Linked DNA regions of Coturnix japonica. Each later gene encodes a partner of the first gene's protein in a complex. Links are inferred from orthologs where the notes say so. Each region holds a gene or a part of one and is shown on either strand. Other genes may lie near its edges.

Region 1 (4,350 bases):
ATACAGTTGACACAGTGTGTGCATGCTTTTGCATTTTTCACCTGCAGCCCAGGCAGCCCATCCCAAGTTACCATGCAGCACAAGGCACTTATAGATTTTCCTTCCACCTTCATACCCTAACTAATAAAAACAATGTTCTCCAGTAACTGTTACTCCTTTCCCACATGGAATTCCCCCCCATTTTAGCCTGGAAGGAATGCAGGATCAGTCCATGACAGTTCTTGCTCACCAGAGACTTGGAAACCTTTACAAGTGTACCAGACACGATCTAAAAGGAGAAATCTATCTCCCCCTTCCTGCAAAGCCCTCTCTCCTCCTGCCCCAGGGATGCTCATGACCACGGCAGCTCCTCCAGGTCTCACATATGTGAGACACTCAGATCTTGCAACCCCACATAAGTGCCATCTGCCAAATCACTCAGACTGTTAGAGTCGGAACCCCTTAACAACATCTGTTATTTAACTAGCAGATACATATAGCCCAAAAGGTTTTAAAGACAAGTTAGATATGCTTATCTGTACTGAATTAGGGCTGAATTATCTGCTTGAACTACACCCCAACAATGGGCTGTTGGACCAACAAGACCCACCAGGACATTATGTATGAACTCTACACAGAAACCTCTTCGCTCCACTTTTAATTCTCTCAAGGAAAGAAGTAGCTGGCAATGACCTGTAGGATTTTCTTTTCCTTCAGGATCCCCTTGCAGCTTTGTCTCATCATGCAGAGAATACTAAATACATACAGAAGAAAATAAGCACAATTCTAAAATACTCCACCACTTGAAAATTGCCATGTAGGAAATGGTATTTTACAAGACACGTGAATTATAGCAAATGCATTTGAGCTTTGTCATCGTATCTAGCTATCACCTCTCTGAAAAAGTTTGGGTTTGATTTTGTGCAGAATAAAACATGTCTACAGAGAAGTGATACAGCCTGGGAGGTTTCCTGCAGCTTAAGGCCAGATTAATAGCTTTTACTTATGCTCCATCTCTCATGCTCCCTTCTTCCATAGATAGGCCCAGTTCCCTGCAAGAGATACACCTTTCAATGGCAGAAGAGGGGCTCACTCAGTCTCCCAGTCACTCACTGAGCTCATGGCAAACAAAGAGGGAGCCCCTTGCACCGTAACTTTGTAGCTGGTTCCCATAGGTGCTGGATGCTGTCTGAAGCCCTTTGGAGTGTGCTTCAAGGAGAGGACACAGGAGAAAGGGGAAGACAGCTCACTGTACGTCAAAGCAAACCAGCAGCCTAGCAACCATATATTAAAAGGTGTGTGTGTTTTTGTGGGTGTCCGTGTGCCAGGAATAACTGAAGCCGATATTATTCCATTTGTAATCCAAAAAATGTGAAAAGGGAAGGGGAGAAACTCCAGCTGCTGGTCTATTTTGGGGTCTGTCAAAGTCCACTTTCACAAATACAGAGTCTTAACACTTTCTATCCCATTTGTCTTAAACAAAAATGAAAGCCTGGACCTAGGCGAGATTTCAGCCTCGGCTTGATAGGGACCTTCAGAGCAGAAACTGATCTTACTGCACATACTACACTTTTTTCCTGTTGGTAATAGGCAAAAAAATGCAAAAGGTCGCTTCTGAGATATCACAATTAGTTTAGAGAGACGAGATCTAGCGCCTTATTTCTGAATGTACTCTAGCAGATACAACTCCAGATACTTACACCTAATTTTTGAGACAGAAGTGTGATAGACGAGAATCTAGAGTCGTGTAGAACTAGCTTTACAAAGACTGACTGGAGTGAGAAGTTCACCACGTTAATTTTGCCGAAGTTTCCCACACAGAAGAACGGAGGGCTCGCAGCGCACAACGAGCACCGGTCGCGCTTCTGCCACGAGCGGCCCCGGCGGTGCGTACAACTTCTGAACCGCTCCGTCCCAGCGCGCTACCACTTCGGTGCCCCCAGAGCCGCGTCCCCACGTGGGCGAGTGGAGCCTGGGGCACCTTTCGGGGCTCGCCCTCCGCCGCCAGGCTCGCTCCCCATGTTGCAGCCCGAGGTGGCCCTGCAGAGCGGGCACAGCGCTGCCACCCACCCCCCGTAGCACTCCCGCACCACCGAGGGGTATCCCGGGCAGAGGCTGGGCTCCGCTCCTCCTCCTCACCGCCACCGGGAAAAGAAGGGGAGGAGAGTTACCTTGTTTTTGACCCCGCAGTGGCAGCAGACAGTCCACAGGTACTTGAGGGTCCTCCACAGCAGGATGATAAACAGTCCCCCAAAGAAAGTGACCATGGATGAGGCGAGGAAAGCCCACCACATGCGCTGTCCGCGGCTATCGCAGGGCACCTCCATGGTCACCGGGATGATGAGCGCATCCATCTTGGGCACATTGACGGGGGAGGAGGACGAGTCTGTGTTGAGATTGTTGGCGTTGATATTGTTACTCATTCTAATGCCGCCGCCGCTGCCGCCCGGGTAGGAGCCGCCGCCGCTGCCATTTGCCATAGCTAACAGCGAGCCGGGCGCGCAGGGGCTGCCGAGAGCTCCTCCCGCCGCCAGCGCCCCCCAAAAAGCCCATCACCAGCCATATTGCTGCCACCGCTCAGCGGGAAAGGGAAAATAACGGGAGGGAGAACAAAAAGCCAAATCAAAACAAACAAACAAAAAATAATCGGGAAAGAAAAGCGACCGCCGCAAAACCCCGGTCCCTTCTCGGGAGCCGGCAGGCCGGTGAATTCCGAGCGTCCTCCTTGCGCGGCGTAAATAATAGCAATAAAAATAATAATAAAAAAAATAATAATAACGGCAAGGTAGTCCGCTCCTCAGCTTCCCACCCCTTCCTTCTCCCGCATACGCAGCCCCCGCCCGCCCACCCCCGAAAAAATCATCCACCACCACCGCCACACGCAGATGCCGCCGAGCGTCTCTCCGAGATCCCCAGCGCTGCGAGCCCGCTGCCGCCGCGGGGATCACTCGGCCTCCGCCGCGGATCTTCTCGGAGGTCTTCTCTTATTATTGTTATTAGTCTTTAACTTGTTATTAGCGATACTCAGTCCCCCCTGCGCACCCTCCTCCTCCTTCTCCTCCTCTTCCAAGTCCAGCCCCTTCCTCTCCTCTTCCCCCCGCGGTGCCGGCAGCAGCCTCCTGTGGCTCCTAATTCATCCTCCGCTGGCCCATCTGCGCGGGCGCTGCCGCCGCCGCCTCCTTGCCCATCCTTCGGGAGCTCGCTCCAGGGCGCAGGCTGCCGCTGCTCACGCTGTTGCTCCCACTCGCGCAGAGGCGCCGCCGGCTCCCGCCCCTCCTCCCCTCGTTCCGCCGAGGGACGCGCTCCGCGGGAGGATGCAGTGCGAGACGGCCCGGGATGCCGAGATGCGTCGAGGGGGCGCCGGCTTAGACGGCTCTCCGGCTCCCCGTGGGGCCGTCGGGTCCCTCGGGCGGCGAGAGAGGCGTGGCGGCGACTACCGGGGTGCGGCGCGGCGAGGGGCTGAGGCTGCTCACAGGTGGCCGCGACCGGCCGCTCCGACAGGTCCCACCGGCTCGGGCGGGTCCATCGCCGCCGCCGCCGCCGCCGCCGCCGCGCAGTGGTCCCCGCAGCCGCGGAGGGGCGGGGGCGGGCGGCCGGTTCGGAGGATGTCATGACGCAGCGGCTAACGCACGGCGCTGCCGTGGCCCCGGCCCCCGCCGACGCGCTCCCCGCGGAGCCCATCTTGCACGCCGTGCTCCGCAGTAGCCCGGCACGACATGGCTGGGGGCTTCCACCACCCCTTGGGGCCGGGGAACGGGGCTGAATGGGGCTGAGGGCCAGGCAGCGCTGAGCTGAGCTGAGCTGCAGCAGCAGGTGCCTGCAGTGCAGGAGGGCTCTAACGGGGCCGGGCGGCGGGGAGCAAGGAAAAGGCGTTGGGGCTCGCTCTGTACTGAGGGCGTTCTGGGATTTTTTTTGTGAATGGACGCGGGGAAGTGTGGCGAACGGCCCTGGAACGTTCCTGAAATTAACCCTTAGAAATAGGAACAACGATTGATAGTGATACGTTGGAGCTGGGGGAATCCGACAAGAAAATCCGGATCACTGTCTCCCGCTTTTTTCCCTCCCCCCTCAGATTTCCACTGTAAAGCAGAGGATTATTTATTTATCAATCTATTTATTTATTTATCGACCTATTTATTTATTTATTAAATAAAGTCCTCATTTGGCACACGGTCTGCTCAGCCAGCAGCCTGCACAAAGCGTCACACAGATCCTCTCATCTGTCCATGGACAAAATGCAAAAACCTGTGTGAGTATGGCTTTCCCCAGCCCATGGAGTTACACCGTTGTGCGCAGAGCCACAATGGCAGGATGGTGAGCTGGTAACCTTTGCCAGGAGTCATTCCTTTTCCTGCGTTGGCCGAGTTTGTA
Region 2 (3,295 bases), on another chromosome or scaffold:
CATTACCAAATTAAATTTCATAAAGAGAAGATGATGCCAATTCATTCCTCTAGAACTTTATTCCACCCTTTCTGTCTTACAGAGACAGGGAGCAGTTTGCTGCACCACACAGTTCAAAAACTGCTGACAGAAGACCTGCAGATTTTTCTCCTGAATTGAACATATTTTTCCATTGTTTGTATGATTCTTCTCGCTTGGCAAGCTCCATAATTATCAGAGCTGCAAAAGTACACCTAAGCAAGCACCCTTAGAGTCAGCAAAACTTATCTTTCAAAGCTCATTTCTATCTCCAGAAGAAAATAGATGGTGTACACATTTCAGCATAGACTAACTTCAAGTATCTCTGGCAGCGAGCCTTTCTTCTGCTGCATATAAATTGCTGTACAATCAAAGAAATAGCAGCACTTCAAGGCAGCCATAACATTTGGCAATAACATTTAACAATACAGGATTCAGCAAATATAAGGAAAAAGCCTTTCCCAAGTGCTGCACAATTGGCACAGAACAAATAGCAGAGCTTAGGCAGCACATCTCGTAACTTTGCCTCAGCCCCAGCTGCAGATGTGACATGAGAATCAGCTCACCCACCCCAGCACACCACATGGGTATCTGCACCTGGGCATATTGCCCTAAGCTCCATTACAGGAGATAGACAAACACCTCTGGGCACCCAACATAGTCAGGCACTTAATTCTGAGTGAGATTAAAAGATCCTATTTCTCTGCACTGTCGCTAATGGCTAACTTTCACAAAGCTGGCTGGAGACAACAGACTGTTCTCCAGGGCATGCCAACCAGGACTACAGTCTCAGCAGGGAGGGGACAACAGCCATAGCCAGAGTAGGAGGAACCTGAAGGCCTGAGGTGTCCAGCAGACTACCCAGGGGAGTCAGGACTCTCTGTACCTGCCAGCTTGCTTCAGTTCTCCATGCCAGATCCCTTTGGAACTGGAAGCAAAGTCCCACAAACCTTGCCTGACCTGGATACCTTAAGTATTTTCTTTCCCCTTCCTCATCTACATGGGCCCGTCACCCCCATCACTGCTGTTCTCTCAAGGCACTGAAAAAAATAAAAAAGATGCTTTTTGCCATAATACTGCATGATTTAAAGGGAACTCTCCTTAGAGCTTTGTATTTTTTACCTCAAGTGGTAAAAACGCTTTTCCATTCCCACGTAGCTTTTCACCAATAGAGCTGTCTTACACTAAATTCCCTGCATTAAGCTTCATCACTACATGAATGTACATACACATTGTGCAGAAAGAACCAAGAGACAGTTGCTAAACACACATATAAGCACTTCCATCTATGCAAACATACATTACTTACCTCAAGTGCTGGTTAAAATAGCAAGTAAAGGGCTGTGAACCCACTTTCTCCTTCCAGTATTTCTGCTTGTACGTGACATTCTCAGAGTTCTCCTGATCATCTCTGGCACAGGGAGGGATGTAGGAACACTGTCAACACATGCAGCAAAACAGAGTTACTTTTGTGCTTGAGAACACCAGGCATCGCTTTCTCTGCATCTTCCTCTGAATGCCAACACTACTGAAATGGGCAAAGAAGAATTAATACAGGCTCCAAAGAAAGGCAACTAATAAGTAAGCTGAACTTGACTTGACTTGATAGTTACACCCTGCAGGTACTGGAAAAGGATTCAGAAACATTCAGAAACAAAATCAAAGATTAATCATGTTTTGTTCTGTTATCAAACCAACCTGCCGTGTAACACCTATGGGTGTTTGGTTTGATTTGCTGTGGTGATGAATGTGGAAACAATCAAAGTATTCCAGCAAGTTGCAGACAATGATATCTGATATCTAGCTGATATTCTTTGGCACAAAGAACGTTTTCTGCCACTTTTACTTGAGCAAAAAGCAGCACAGAAAGTTCCAACCCTCAGTGCAGCAGAGCAGTTCAGTGTCTGCTTCTACCATAGAGAAGTCAGCCATAGAGACGCAAGCTCCTGGGTTTGGATATCTGCTTCAAAGCCCCAGGAGACCAAGCGCATTGTCTCCCCAACCACAGCACACTTGAGACTGGGCTTTCAGAGATGTAGCCCTGGATCACTCACAACACTCAAGTCTTGTCTTTTTACAGTAGTTCCCACCCTTTTATCTTGATCTGAAAATGAACTAGATTTGCTTCTGTCTCTTCTCTCTGTATCTTCATGGGAAAAACACAAAGGAAATGCATGGAATCTTGTCATAAATCACTGGAACCTCACTGGTTGAACCTCTTGAGAAACAACGACCTCAAAGAAAGGAGTGGTCCCTACATGAATCCTACGGGTCCCCCTGAAAGATCTACTCAACCCAGTAAGGGCCCTGAGCAGCAGGCAGCACCTTAAGTCCAACTCCAAACTTGATTTATCACCTGCTGCACATACATTGGAGCTCATTTGCTTCCCCAGGATGCCATCAATAGTTCTCACTAACCCGGCGTTCATTTTGGCTCCTTAGATGGGATAGACAGGAACAATAATCTGGAACCTTCCAGTGCCATGAGCTGGTAGGTGAACCTGGGATGACCTCCAGCTTTGGCAACAGGCAGTTTCTGAAAGGTTAATTCCACAGTCCTCCCCCACAATACACAGTGTGAAATCCTACCATCAAAACGTAACTAAATGCCAAGTGTCTGAAAGCAAGCTAGGATGCCTCGCGCTTAATTGCAGCCTAAGAAGCAACATCCATTTTCAGTGGAAGGGTCCCACCCTGTAATACTTTGATGGTTTTTCTTCAGTCTGTTACAAAGAAGTCGGAGAACAGCGCTTAAGATTAGACATTCAGAATAAACCTAATGATGCGGGGAGCTTTTCATACGATCTATCAGTACATAGCGCACCTCCTACACTACATCACAGCAACAATAACATCATTATGCAATTTAAATGCAGTCTCAATTACACAGCTCAAAATCAGTACTAAGCTAATAATATTCACTCCTCAGTCAAAGCCGCTGTTTGGATAGATGACTCAGGATTCAATTCAGTAAAAGTGTCAGAGAGCAGCTAACACGACTTCACACCATGGTTTTAGTAAGCTTTGTGTCTGCTGTGTTTGCTACACAGTGCTTCCCCACCGGTATCTCTGCAGCATCAGGCCCCTCATCTACCCCAGCCAGCGGGGCCAATGACTCACAACCATTGGAGCATCCCTGGAGGAATCCCAACTCCACCACCAAACTGCTGCGCTGGCGTGAAGCAGAGATCACGTCCTCCCAGTTCCACCACTCTGTCTCAAAAGTTAGATGGTAACTAGTCCTGGTTTAGCTTTGCTTGTACAGATGTGCTCTTGG

What was found. The genes of interacting proteins can lie anywhere in the genome.
Region 2: the proteins of KCNMA1 (region 1) and KCNMB4 are in contact, whole or in part, in a cryo-EM structure (PDB 6V22), measured with the Homo sapiens proteins. The link is inferred for Coturnix japonica from reciprocal best matches to the Homo sapiens genes KCNMA1 and KCNMB4. Residues at the interface, in NP_001154824.1 of Homo sapiens: Phe98, Phe99, Leu102, Phe103, Leu106, Leu107, Arg109, Thr110, Tyr113, Leu114, Thr116, Val117, Asp238, Leu240, Trp241, Leu244, Pro327, Trp328, Asn330, Gln332, Leu367; in NP_055320.4 of Homo sapiens: Thr11, Glu12, Ala13, Glu14, Lys16, Ser17, Leu20, Leu24, Ile34, Phe35, Cys38, Trp39, His105, Thr164, His165, Val183, Leu186, Ile187, Leu190, Thr191, Ala194, Leu197, Ala198, Lys200, Ala201, Met204.

The regions. Positions count from the first base shown.
Region 1 is NC_029521.1:11,060,751-11,065,100, reverse strand, and holds the start of KCNMA1 (calcium-activated potassium channel subunit alpha-1), read right to left. Parts: upstream 2,802-4,350; 5' UTR 2,460-2,801; coding exon 2,151-2,459; intron 1-2,150. UniProt on the Homo sapiens protein: Potassium channel activated by both membrane depolarization or increase in cytosolic Ca(2+) that mediates export of K(+). It is also activated by the concentration of cytosolic Mg(2+).
Region 2 is NC_029516.1:32,484,324-32,487,618, reverse strand, and holds part of KCNMB4 (calcium-activated potassium channel subunit beta-4), read right to left. Parts: intron 1,456-3,295; coding exon 1,328-1,455; intron 1-1,327. UniProt on the Homo sapiens protein: Regulatory subunit of the calcium activated potassium KCNMA1 (maxiK) channel. Modulates the calcium sensitivity and gating kinetics of KCNMA1, thereby contributing to KCNMA1 channel diversity.